Saccharomyces cerevisiae S288C: one gene and its partners. The gene in region 2 interacts genetically with the main gene of each other region. Each region holds a gene or a part of one and is shown on either strand. Other genes may lie near its edges.

Region 1 (3,899 bases), on a different chromosome or scaffold from region 2:
TCAAAAGTTTTTGGATTTGACACATTTGGTACTGTTTATGGGTTATTGTCCTGCATTTGTGGTATTTTCAACATGAGTCAAAACTTACTGGACAAATGGACACATACTACTTTCAACATGAATCCATTCCCAATAAACCTTACACTGGTAATCCTCACAGTCGTTTTTTCACTAACTTTAACATTTTACATACGATCTCAGATTTTGCCCAAGCCCGTGAATGAAAGAGGATTGTCCTCCAACTACCAAACTATCTGAGTGCACACTTTCAAGCTAACACGCACTTTATTTATATTTAAATGACATAAAGTTATATATCTAGAAAGTTTATTTATCGTTCTCAGTACCATCCTCATCCTAGTATGTATAGCTTGTACCCATTAAAAGAATTTTATCATGCCGCCGAAAGGAACAATTTCAAGTACTATCGGAAGATGAATGGTTAGATGTTAAGCGCTGTCACTTCAAACTTCACATTTATAAAGATGTCACATGGACCACTATTATCTACCTTAAGTTATTTATCAAGATAAGTTTCCGGATCTTTTTCTTTCCTAACACCCCAGTCAGCCTGAGTTACATCCAGCCATTGAACCTTAGAAAATCTTTTGTCATTAGCGGTTTGAGCCCTAAGATCAACATCTTGCTTAGTAATCACTGCAATGGCGTCATAACCACCAGCACCAGGTATTAAGCAAGTAAGAACTCCTTTTAAGGTCTGGCAATCATCCAATAAGCTAGTTTGTACGGGAGGTTCGATATCGGCACCAGATTCTTTAGTTATTTTTCTAAAGGAACGTCTAATTGTGGCAACTGCATCTCTAACTTCTGTGATTTCAGGATACTTTTGACAGGTACAGTCATTCCTCTCAAGAGACTCAAATATCTGATCGCTGTAATCGTCATGAGTCTCGTGTAAGCGATCTAGTTTAGATAGTCCATCCATAAATCTAGAATTTGCATGATCGAGTTCTGTATATATTTTCAAGCTTTCTGGCATATGCGAATCATACCAATTTTTTACCTTCTGGACCAGTTTTACTGTTTCTGAACCATTCTTAATATCGCCCATCCATAAAGTTAATCCCGAAGGTAAATGGTTACTTTTAATCGTAATATTCCAGTCTTCTTCATCAACCAAATGCGCCAGTTTACTGCCGTAAGTAGCACTTCCAATATCTGGCAAATTAGAGATTAATGCGGGTGGGAATCTTCTATATCTGATAGATCCATATGCTGCCGCCGCTACATCAAACCCGCTTCCAATTTTACCCTGAGCTTGACAATGAGCAACTTGTGCTAAATTATGAATAACTTCTCTATATTTGTCTACATTATTTTCCAGGTCCGATACAAAAAAGGAGGCCAAAGCTGTAGTTAAAACTGTGACTAAACCTGCCGAGGAGCCCAGCCCTGTTTTGGGAACTTCTTCAATTCTGTGCGAATGAAAACTCAATCTTCTGTTGCCACGATGTTCGGTAACGCTATCCTCCTGAGAATGGTAGGCATCATCAGAGAAAATATCAATAACGAACAAGTTTCTATTGCAGTAGTCGTCCATGTTAGGTTTAAAGTAGCTAAATACGTTAGCGATAACTTTTTCAATGAAAGGGTTCTTAGATCCGCCTATCGAAACAGGAATGAAGCCACTTTTAGGACTTATATGGTACAGCCACTCCCCATCTTTAAATTGTTTACTTTTCACACGCACTTCAAACTTATCAGACCCTTGCAATGAACCGTAAGGATGGGCTACAGCATGCATTCTTGCCGATAATCCGACTACAAATGCTTCATATTTTGTATCTAAAACTAAATATCCACCAGCTAGTAACGCTTTCCCTGGGGCACTGAAGGCTCTCAACTCTGACATTTCTCGAGGCAGCCGATTGATTTATTATGAGGCCTTCCAAGATGTTTTTTCACCTTTTTTGTTTTTCCATTCTTTATATAATCTTTCTTTCCATTCGACATGACGTTAACTCCGCCTTAAAACCGAACTTTTTTCCTTTTAGATCTCGTATAGAAAAACGCATCGCAATAATTATTACTATCTACATATTCCTGTATACAATTTGATTATTTGTCAACACTTGGATGCGTATTCTGTCCACGGCTTTTTGGCTCGTGCCCCCTACGCCTTTTAGTATTTGATGCGGCAGAACTGCCTTCTGTGATTTTTCTTTTCCGTCTTCTGCTGTTGTAGTTTCTTTTACGGCTTTTCTTTTTTGCTTTAGTTTTGTCCTTTTCGCGGTTTGTTTCCTCATCATTATTATTTTCTGGAGAACTTTTATCATTGATTAGTTCCATACTTGGTTTCTGTTCTTCAAGTACAGATTTTGAAGGCATTTCCTCCTGTTCTTCTTTAACTTCTACTTTAACAGGTATATCCACTGCTTGATGTTCGGGCTCCTCACCTTCATTTACTTTGATGTTAATGGAATTATCGTGTGGCTCATTATCAACATCGTGGCTAGATAAATGTTCTGATCTATCATCCAAAACGGATGTTACATTGGTTTTATCGTGTTTCTCAAGCGTGGTGGCGGGAATTTCATCATTAATTTCCATAGGGACTTCATTTGGCGTGTCTGAGAATATTTCATACACTTCCGGTGATGTTGGCGCACTCTTTTCAGCGGTAATATTTTCCGAATTTGAATAGGGATAAGAATCTGTCACTTCTTCCTTATCAGACGGAGGATCAGATGGAAGATCTGTGGACGGTATATTTCCGCGTTGCCTTTCATCATCATTCATTTTACTAGAAGCTGCTGTCTCTGTAGGGCCCTCTATTTCCAATTCGTACAACTCAGCTTCTTCTGGCTCTGAATTTAGTTCTTCTATTGACCTCTCCTGATTGTTTGATAGGTCCAGGTCTTCTTCATGTTCGGGGTGTTGAATGCTAATATCTAACTCCGAAAAAGTGTCTTCTTCAATTGCTCCAGCATATTTCTCATTAACGGACTTTTCAAACGTGAGATCCCGTTCACGGCTTGTATTAACTTCGTCTGATTCTTCTTGATTTTTTCCTCTCCTGGAATCTTCAATGAGCCTCTGAGAATAATTCTCTAGGTCACTTAGATTCTTTAGGAGTTGTTGTCTCTTAATATCATCGGGGGCATTACTGTGAATATTTGCTGATGTTATATCTCCATATATGGTATCAAATTCTTCTTCATTCTCGCTGTGGTCTTTCTTTTCGAAATGTTGCTCGGATTGTAAACCTTCAACTAGCGGCTCTTCCGACTTATGCAAATTTTCCTTGTCCTTTACTTGCTGTCGAAACACTTCGGAGTCCTCTTCATAAGCACCGTTTGTCGTGGGATCGATGTTTATCACACGAGAATTATTACCATTGTCATTATGTGCTTCTGCGGTAACTCCTCCGAGTATGACAGCTTCATCTTCATCGCTGTCTCTCTCTTTGCTACTTACACTTTTCATATTAACAGATGCATCGGTAGAATTCGACTTGTTAAAAATGTCTTGATTATAATCACCAATATCAACGTTATCATCACTCTCAGAATCCATAACATCAATTTTTTTCACGAATGATTCAGCTACGTCGACTACCTTACCCACTCCCTTAACTACAGCTCCAATAACACGAATTGGGGATGAAAAAATATTTGATCGATCAGATTCTGGCTTCAATGGTTCCACAGACTCAATTTCCGAACTGGACACCCGAATGTCCAAATTATGTTTTGCAGATCCCTCAACATTTTTTTCAGCTGTGGAGTCTTGGTCTCGGTCTGAATCAGAGCAAGCTTGGCTAACCTGATCATGCATATTGGTATTATTTTCCAGGGCTTTTGTGTTTTCAATGGTAGTTGCTCTTCTTTCAAAGAGCACTTCGTTGTGCGTTTTTTCCACGCACGACCTTTCTGGGA
Region 2 (3,400 bases):
TAAGAAAAGGACTGCTGGCCTGGACATGAACCAGTACGTTTTGCAAAAACTAGGCTGGTCGCTAGACGAACCGCAGCTCGAAAATGCTGCCGCGAAGGCTTTTAGTTCTTCTACTCTATATGCTGTGCGTGCCAACGATTTCCCGTATAACTTCGAGCCTGGTGTTGTACACCTTGTTCTCTGGTCCAAGGTTGCCCTGCCAGTACATTCCCCAGATAAGGCCGTGCGCGAAGCGGCCCGCGCTCGCATGAATGCATTTTTGCAGGCACAGCCGCTACTGCGTCCACTTCTAAGCTCGGGTCACGTGGCCTGGTTTGTCAACTACCCGGAACTACAAAGTGTTGCCCGGATTTTCCACGCTCACGTGCTGCTTTTCTTCCCACGGGAACGCTATTCCGCGGAACAGGTAAAAACGACCGTTGATGATATCCTTTCACACGGTTTCGAGCCACTTGCCTGATAAAGTTTTTTTTTTTTTTTTCAGCATGCCAAAATGCTACATACATTTGTTAATTATGTACTATAACCGATACTGGTATTAATGATGCGATGAGCTGATGAGACAGTAGATAAATAAAAGACGCTTCTACCTACACAAGCACATACAATATAATATGCATATGCAACTCAGGAAAAGAAAAAGGGTTGACTATTCAGGGAGAAATCAGACGTCCGATCCTCCTTCAACCACAACGGCAGCGGTACCATCCATTATTGTCCCTAAGAAGCGTAAAGTAGTCGCACAAAACATGGTTAGTCCAGCTATTCGAGCCACAACCACAACACTGGGCACCTCAAATATAATAATACCTAAGCCTCTGCAGCGCCCTAAATTCCACAATAGCGCCAGCCTATCTTCACCTGATGATGATCCCGAAAAGATCTCTGTATTGGAAGTTCAGAAAAATTTGTCCAATCTCATCAAAAGACAACAAAGATTATTTTATAAAGATATACATAAGCCGACTCTCGCCGGCTTGAAAAATTTCGAAATGTTAAGGCTGCCCAATGATCTAAAACTCCTACAAAACATCGTAAACCTATTATATTCATTCGAGCAATTAAACAGTGACTCGAAGACAAGACCAGTCACTACTTCCAAATTAAAGGCCTCCTCTCAAGCGCACTCAGACAAATTGAAAAAAATGCTAGCTGAGAGGAAACCTCCATTTAGCCACCCCAGTCACAGCGGCACTGCCTACCACAATGACATCATCCATGAGATAGCGAATTTGCATTCTATTAACCTGGTAGATTTGATTAATTTGGAAGTATATAATAACAATTGCCATACAAACAACACAGCGTTGCAAACTACGGCGAATTCGCTGACACTTAATAGCATTATCAAAAAGCTTGACAAGCCAATACTGAAAGAAAGAAATAATTCTCTGGTATGGCCCCATAAAAGCAGATTTAAAGCAAAAAGGAACCAACCTTCGCCTGGCCAATCTTTAATTAACAATACAGATATAACTCTCTACAACGATGTATAGCCGCCATCTCTACTCACTCCATAATATTACATATAGATATAGGACAAGCCCGCATTTTCATACTGAAAGGTAAACTTCTATTATTATAGTGGTATCCAACGTTCACCGCTTCCAGCATAGCAGAAATTACGTGTTTTTGCATATGTTATGCTGATCATTGTATGCTTACTACCATTTTTCTTTGCTTCGCCTTGCCTTCTTTGACGTTTTTTTGAAGCAAAAAAAAAGTCAAGACAGATGTGCTTACAAAACCATGTAAGGCTCATTTTCAAAGAAGCTACTAATAGAAAGAGAACAAAGCGTTTACGAGTCTGGAAAATCAATGGAGGCCAAGATAGATGAGCTGATCAATAATGATCCTGTTTGGTCCAGCCAAAATGAAAGCTTGATTTCAAAACCTTATAATCACATCCTTTTGAAACCTGGCAAGAACTTTAGACTAAATTTAATAGTTCAAATTAACAGAGTTATGAATTTGCCCAAAGACCAGCTGGCCATAGTTTCGCAAATTGTTGAGCTCTTGCATAATTCCAGCCTTTTAATCGACGATATAGAAGATAATGCTCCCTTGAGAAGGGGACAGACCACTTCTCACTTAATCTTCGGTGTACCCTCCACTATAAACACCGCAAATTATATGTATTTCAGAGCCATGCAACTTGTATCGCAGCTAACCACAAAAGAGCCTTTGTATCATAATTTGATTACGATTTTCAACGAAGAATTGATCAATCTACATAGGGGACAAGGCTTGGATATATACTGGAGAGACTTTCTGCCTGAAATCATACCTACTCAGGAGATGTATTTGAATATGGTTATGAATAAAACAGGCGGCCTTTTCAGATTAACGTTGAGACTCATGGAAGCGCTGTCTCCTTCCTCACACCACGGCCATTCGTTGGTTCCTTTCATAAATCTTCTGGGTATTATTTATCAGATTAGAGATGATTACTTGAATTTGAAAGATTTCCAAATGTCCAGCGAAAAAGGCTTTGCTGAGGACATTACAGAGGGGAAGTTATCTTTTCCCATCGTCCACGCCCTTAACTTCACTAAAACGAAAGGTCAAACTGAGCAACACAATGAAATTCTAAGAATTCTCCTGTTGAGGACAAGTGATAAAGATATAAAACTAAAGCTGATTCAAATACTGGAATTCGACACCAATTCATTGGCCTACACCAAAAATTTTATTAATCAATTAGTGAATATGATAAAAAATGATAATGAAAATAAGTATTTACCTGATTTGGCTTCGCATTCCGACACCGCCACCAATTTACATGACGAATTGTTATATATAATAGACCACTTATCCGAATTGTGAAATAAATTGATCAATCAAATTAGTGGAGGAAGATAGTCAGAAATAAAGCCTTCTCTCCTCCTCTTTCGCATCTATACATACGATTTCATATATACGTTTCATTGCATCATCTTTTGATATATCTCAAAAAGATCTCTTAGTTCGCAAATAGTCAAATCTTCAAATTTATAGCCTTTATATTTTTTCCACGATTTCTGAAACTCCTTTTTATCAGCACCGTTAATGCTAGCGGTTACTGTCAAATCGCCGGTAAATTCGCGATTTCCGTGCTCTAAAGATGCTGAAGATCGTGAAGATGATGAAGTTGATCGTGAGCCATCCCTAGACATCTCTGTTGTATCTCTATTGCTCAATTCCATGGATAATTGAGACGAACTTCGTGGTATGTTTAAGTTGTTGCTACTGTGAAGGTTATTATTGCTAGTATTGTTAGGATGTGGTGGAGTATATGACCTAATTTTTCCGATGATATTTTTTAATGATGAATCAAAAACGGTCCTGAAGCCATCATACGAATTCGATCTTGTAACATCTGGCCTTTGGATAGTAGGAGTCACGATGTCACCTAGGTTAC
Region 3 (3,627 bases), on a different chromosome or scaffold from region 2:
TTGATAATCAGTTGAGAAGTTTATCGGCAGATTTGAGCAAAGTTGGCCACCGCAGTAATCTGGACCCACTATGGGGGGACTTCACACGATATTCTCCCATTTCCAAAGACTATGATAAAATTATCATTTGTAGCGCATATTTCATAGATACCGCGGAAAATATGTTTGAATATCTATCCAGTATTGAAGCACTAAAGAAATACTGTAAAGAGCTGCATTGGGTCAATGTAGGTCCATTAAAGTATGGCACCAAACCCTTGGTCCAATTTACAGGAGATGAATTAAGTCGGCTGCGTAAAATTCGCGGGTGGAAGGACCTTGTGGAGGAATATGAAGTTGATAGCTCAAAGGGATTGAATGGCTATTTAACTGATTATGAGTCAATGTATCAAGGATACTATGGTCTGCTTAAATTTCATTCTGTCTTCGAAAGCTGAATTGATACTACGAAAAATTTTTTTTTGTTTCTCTTTCTATCTTTATTACATAAAACTTCATACACAGTTAAGATTAAAAACAACTAATAAATAATGCCTATCGCAAATTAGCTTATGAAGTCCATGGTAAATTCGTGTTTCCTGGCAATAATAGATCGTCAATTTGTTGCTTTGTGGTAGTTTTATTTTCAAATAATTGGAATACTAGGGATTTGATTTTAAGATCTTTATTCAAATTTTTTGCGCTTAACAAACAGCAGCCAGTCCCACCCAAGTCTGTTTCAAATGTCTCGTAACTAAAATCATCTTGCAATTTCTTTTTGAAGCTGTCAATTTGCTCTTGAGTAATGTCTCTTCGTAACAAAGTCAAAGAGCAACCGCCGCCACCAGCACCGGTAAGTTTTGTGGAGCCAATTCTCAAATCATCGCTCAGATTTTTAATAAGTTCTAATCCAGGATGAGAAACACCGATTGAGACAAGCAGTCCATGATTTATTCTTATCAATTCCAATAGTTGTTCATACAGTTCATTATTAGTTTCTACAGCCTCGTCATCGGTGCCTTTACATTTACTTAACTTAGTCATGATCTCTAAGCCTTGTAGGGCACATTCACCCATGGCATCTAGAATTGGCTTCATAACTTCAGGAAATTTCTCGGTGACCAACACACGAACGCGAGCAACAAGATCTTTTGTAGACCTTGGAATTCTAGTATAGGTTAGGATCATTGGAATGGCTGGGAAATCATCTAAGAACTTAAAATTGTTTGTGTTTATTGTTCCATTATGTGAGTCTTTTTCAAATAGCAGGGCATTACCATAAGTGGCCACAGCGTTATCTATTCCTGAAGGGGTACCGTGAATACACTTTTCACCTATGAAGGCCCATTGATTCACTATATGCTTATCGTTTTCTGACAGCTTTTCCAAGTCATTAGATCCTATTAACCCCCCCAAGTAGGCCATAGCTAAGGCCAGTGATACAGAAATAGAGGCGCTTGAGCCCAACCCAGCACCGATGGGTAAAGTAGACTTTAAAGAAAACTTAATATTCTTGGCATGGGGGCATAGGCAAACAAACATATACAGGAAACAAAACGCTGCATGGTAGTGGAAGGATTCGGATAGTTGAGCTAACAACGGATCCAAAAGACTAACGAGTTCCTGAGACAAGCCATCGGTGGCTTGTTGAGCCTTGGCCAATTTTTGGGAGTTTACTTGATCCTCGGTGATGGCATTGAAATCATTGATGGACCACTTATGATTAAAGCTAATGTCCGGGAAGTCCAATTCAATAGTATCTGGTGCAGATGACTCGCTTATTAGCAGGTAGGTTCTCAACGCAGACACACTAGCAGCGACGGCAGGCTTGTTGTACACAGCAGAGTGTTCACCAAAAATAATAACCTTTCCCGGTGCAGAAGTTAAGAACGGTAATGACATATTGACAGTTTTCTATACGTAGATATAAATTTGCAAGTTAGGACTAAGAAGCGCACCAGCTAACCAGGAAGTAATATCATGGCTAACTAACCTTTATAGGCATATCGTTGTATCGTTCTTCGATACCCTGTCGAAGATTTCAGTGCGACAGCCAAACGAGGCCCGAAAATTGTCAGTACAATTACAACCGATAAAATACACGTTGAGACAAAACTAGCACAAAACGCCTCTTTAAACATAAATGTGTACGCATTCTGAAAGTGAGATAGAGTACAAGGCTATCGCTAGCTTTCCACGGGAGAAGTAGTAGGAACCTCTCTTTTTATTGCTTATGACAGTAATAATAGCATCATTCATCAATGTTTCCGTTAGGGTAACTAAAATGGGTGGGCGGCAGATGACAAGAAAAGATGAATAATGAAGAATGATAAAGAAGAAGTCATCTTGGGTAGAAAGGGAAGACAATTACACACGGCCAAAGCTGGGGGGCTCGCCGGATACATTCTCACTTTTACATTACCATATTCACAATTACTTGCATTCGAATAGGACAGTACAAGCTCGCGTTATATTTGGATCCTTATCGATTCTATAATATAACGGGCAGCCAGATAGTACGGTTGAAAGGACAGCGCCCTGAATACAGAAAACGCATTTTTGCCCATTCGTATAGGCATTCATCTCGAATAGGTTTGAATTTTCCATCTAGAAGAAGGTATTCCAATTATGTGGATCGAGGCAATATTCATAAACATACTCGATTACCGCCCCAGTTCATAGGGCTAAATACTGTGGAAAGTGCCCAACCTTCAATATTAAGAGATTTTGTTGATTTACGTGGTGGACATACTGTTATTTCAAAGATCTTAATAGCAAACAATGGTATTGCTGCGGTGAAAGAAATGAGATCTATAAGAAAATGGGCGTACGAGACGTTCAATGATGAAAAAATCATTCAATTCGTGGTAATGGCGACACCTGATGATTTACACGCAAATTCGGAGTATATTAGAATGGCAGACCAATATGTGCAGGTACCAGGGGGTACCAACAACAACAATTACGCCAACATAGACTTAATACTGGACGTGGCAGAGCAAACGGATGTGGATGCGGTCTGGGCTGGATGGGGCCATGCTTCTGAAAATCCGTGTCTTCCTGAGCTGTTAGCTAGTTCACAAAGGAAAATACTATTCATTGGTCCTCCTGGACGCGCTATGAGATCATTGGGTGACAAGATTTCTTCCACTATTGTAGCACAAAGCGCTAAAATCCCGTGTATCCCTTGGTCTGGTTCACATATAGACACTATCCATATCGATAACAAGACGAACTTTGTATCTGTGCCGGATGATGTATATGTAAGGGGATGTTGTTCCTCACCTGAAGATGCTTTAGAAAAGGCTAAATTAATAGGATTTCCTGTAATGATTAAGGCATCCGAAGGTGGTGGAGGTAAGGGCATTAGGCGAGTAGATAATGAGGATGATTTTATTGCATTATATCGCCAAGCAGTGAATGAGACACCTGGGTCGCCTATGTTTGTTATGAAAGTTGTCACTGATGCTCGTCACTTAGAGGTACAGTTATTAGCTGACCAATATGGCACTAACATTACATTGTTTGGGAGAGACTGTTCCATACAAAGGCGGCACCAAAAGATTATAGAAGAGGCACCAGTGACAATAACCAAGCCTGAAACGTTTCAAAGGATGGAACGCGCAGCAATTCGTCTAGGTGAATTGG
Region 4 (2,850 bases), on a different chromosome or scaffold from region 2:
TAAATTTGAGCTGGTGAAAGGAGAAAATGAAAGTATACCATTTGAAGAGAGAGAGTGGAAACTTACAATGAATGGCAACACCTCCTTTTTAACTAATGGGGAAGAAATGAATTGGACGTTTATGAATGCCTTTGAGGCTGGTTCAGACGCTGATATCAAAGCGAGAAGAGCAGCTGAGAGCGGAAAACTAAAAATGGAGTGAAAACTAAAGTGAGTCTTGAATTCTGTACTTCTCATTATACACTTCTGCATTTGATTTTTATTTCATGATGAAGCTGTGTGAATATATATATATATATACATATGTCAAAGTCTAGTGTAAATTGATAGAATTAACAGTATCTTTTAATATCCCTAAACTTCAAAATTCAAGGTTCAACGATTGAAAGATGAGCTGTCTAGGTAGTAGTACCGAAACCTTTCGAGTTTTGTGCTATCTCTGAAAACTCATTATCCTGCTAAACCCTTTCTAATGTGCATAGCAGCTATTGCAACTTTAGCATCCTCATTACAGACGGCATAGCAGAGACGTATGCGGTTACCCCCCAGATTTTGCCTGTTTCTTTTCACTATGAAAAATTTTCCGCCATAAGAAAAAATGAAGTAGTGCATCGCATCTCATCTCATCACTTAATTTGAAGACGATTACCATTACTTTTAACTTCATTAACTACCTTTTCTATAGGGTTAAGTTCTAGAGATAAAATAACAGAGGAAAGAGATCGATATGGTAAAGTCAACAAGCAAAACTTCCACCAAGGAAACAGTAACCAAACAACCCACCGAAGAAAAACCTATACAGGAGAAAGAAGAGTTGGCTCTAGAAACATCGTCTAGCAGTTCAGATGAAGAAGACGAAAAAGATGAAGATGAAATTGAAGGTTTAGCCGCTTCTGATGATGAGCAGAGCGGTACACACAAGATTAAAAGATTGAATCCTAAGAAGCAGGCTAATGAAAAAAAGTCGAAAGATAAAAAGACACTTGAAGAGTATTCTGGGATTATTTATGTGAGTAGACTGCCACATGGGTTCCACGAAAAGGAATTAAGTAAATATTTTGCTCAATTCGGTGATTTAAAAGAAGTGAGATTAGCACGTAATAAGAAAACTGGAAATTCCAGACATTATGGCTTCTTAGAATTCGTTAATAAAGAGGATGCAATGATCGCCCAAGAATCTATGAACAATTACTTGTTGATGGGTCATCTACTACAAGTGCGTGTATTACCAAAAGGAGCTAAAATCGAGAAATTGTACAAATACAAGAAGAGAGTTCTAGTAGAGAAAGGTATCACCAAACCAGTAAAACAGCTAAAGGATAACATGAAGCAAAAACATGAAGAAAGGATAAAAAAATTAGCCAAGTCAGGTATCGAATTCAAATGGTGACTTGTCACTTCTCATCCACCCTGAGAAAAGGGTTTTGTAAGATAGAATAGGAGATATAGCAAACTTGGGAAACCATTTATATCATTAATTCCAGCAATATAGTTCCGTTTGTCCGTATTCAATGATATTTACATGATTGCTTTTACGAAGATTCAACGACCAAAATCACGGAGCGGGTAATAGCCTGGAGTTTCCGGATGAAAAATTTAACGGCCCAGAAAAAGAACAATAGCTGCAAAAAAGAAAGCTATACGAGATCGAGATAGTGAGAGAGGTTAGCATAACGAGAAAATTTTTGTCGCATTCGTGGCCAAAAAGCGATATTTGAGAAGCATTGTTATTATATCAATAAATAACAAATATATATATTGTCCTTTTTCCAATAACTATATAAAGAACAAGAAGCTTTTGAAACTTTCTCAAAAATTTTCGTTCAGGCTTCCTCGTTAATATTTAAATTCGATTTTCATTTTCTTCATAGTAAAGAAAATCAATCAACTACAACATAAAATATCAAACAATCATGCCTAAAGTTTACAGTTACCAAGAAGTTGCCGAACACAATGGCCCAGAAAATTTCTGGATTATCATCGATGACAAAGTTTACGATGTTTCTCAATTCAAAGATGAACATCCAGGTGGTGATGAAATTATAATGGATTTGGGTGGACAAGATGCTACAGAAAGCTTTGTCGATATCGGTCATTCTGACGAAGCATTGAGACTACTGAAAGGTTTATACATTGGTGACGTTGACAAGACCAGTGAGCGCGTTTCTGTGGAAAAGGTATCTACCTCTGAAAACCAAAGTAAAGGTAGTGGTACATTGGTTGTCATATTGGCCATTTTAATGCTAGGTGTTGCTTATTATTTGTTGAACGAATAATTTTTCTTCCAGAATAGCCCACACTCTTCTCCAAACTCAATTGAATTTTTCGTTTCAGTTTATTAAATTATTTATTTACAAGCAATCAAGGCCAAATTAATGTCTTACAACATTAACTTATGCTACTATATCGCATAGAAGTATGTCACTGTATCATAGAATCTGCCTGGCAGATAGAATTATTATAAATTAATATGTATATACTTATCTTTGTGTATGGCTAAAAATCATCGTCTTAGATAAAAAAAAAAAAGGCAAATAAAGCTCTGCTCTTACTTCAATACGATCAACCTGGTTGTCGTGCATTTCGCTCATTCTAAAATGACCCATAAGCGCTAGTGCACGACTTCTTTGTAAGTCTACTGTTTTTTTGAAAATCATTCGTTTAACATCGGCCCCAGGGTTGTACGAGAACAAAGAAAAGTGTCTGTCCTATTATTTTACGGCACACTAAGCGTTATGCGAAATAACTTCAATCCAGTTGCCACCGTTCACCCAAAAACTTAGGAGTATTAAAGAAAAAGTGTGACGAAGAGCTTTAAAATATTAAAAATGTAGTATACAGCAAATAAAA

What was found.
Region 1: mutations in BTS1 (region 2) and ERG8 together harm fitness more than expected from each alone (negative genetic interaction), as found in Saccharomyces cerevisiae (3 studies listed by BioGRID).
Region 3: mutations in BTS1 (region 2) and ERG12 together harm fitness more than expected from each alone (negative genetic interaction), as found in Saccharomyces cerevisiae (3 studies listed by BioGRID).
Region 4: mutations in BTS1 (region 2) and CYB5 together harm fitness less than expected from each alone (positive genetic interaction), as found in Saccharomyces cerevisiae (3 studies listed by BioGRID).

Annotation. Positions count from the first base shown.
Region 1 is NC_001145.3:710,290-714,188, reverse strand, and holds ERG8 (phosphomevalonate kinase), read right to left. Parts: upstream 1,874-3,899; coding exon 518-1,873; downstream 1-517. Other genes in the region: FMP42 (Fmp42p), read left to right, coding at 1-258; ESC1 (Esc1p), read right to left, coding at 2,080-3,899.
Region 2 is NC_001148.4:422,311-425,710, reverse strand, and holds BTS1 (farnesyltranstransferase), read left to right. Parts: upstream 1-1,818; coding exon 1,819-2,826; downstream 2,827-3,400. Other genes in the region: HTC1 (Htc1p), read left to right, coding at 1-460; YPL068C (uncharacterized protein), read left to right, coding at 615-1,496; guanine nucleotide exchange factor MUK1, read right to left, coding at 2,925-3,400. UniProt on the Saccharomyces cerevisiae protein: Catalyzes the trans-addition of the 3 molecules of IPP onto DMAPP to form geranylgeranyl pyrophosphate. Required for the membrane attachment of YPT1 and SEC4. May be involved in vesicle trafficking and protein sorting.
Region 3 is NC_001145.3:682,721-686,347, reverse strand, and holds ERG12 (mevalonate kinase), read right to left. Parts: upstream 1,882-3,627; coding exon 550-1,881; downstream 1-549. Other genes in the region: YMR209C (uncharacterized protein), read left to right, coding at 1-437; acetyl-CoA carboxylase HFA1, read left to right, coding at 2,784-3,627. UniProt on the Saccharomyces cerevisiae protein: Mevalonate kinase; part of the second module of ergosterol biosynthesis pathway that includes the middle steps of the pathway. ERG12 converts mevalonate into 5-phosphomevalonate.
Region 4 is NC_001146.8:416,366-419,215, reverse strand, and holds CYB5 (Cyb5p), read left to right. Parts: upstream 1-1,913; coding exon 1,914-2,276; downstream 2,277-2,850. Other genes in the region: YNL108C (uncharacterized protein), read left to right, coding at 1-202; rRNA-binding ribosome biosynthesis protein NOP15, read left to right, coding at 728-1,390. UniProt on the Saccharomyces cerevisiae protein: Membrane bound hemoprotein which function as an electron carrier for several membrane bound oxygenases.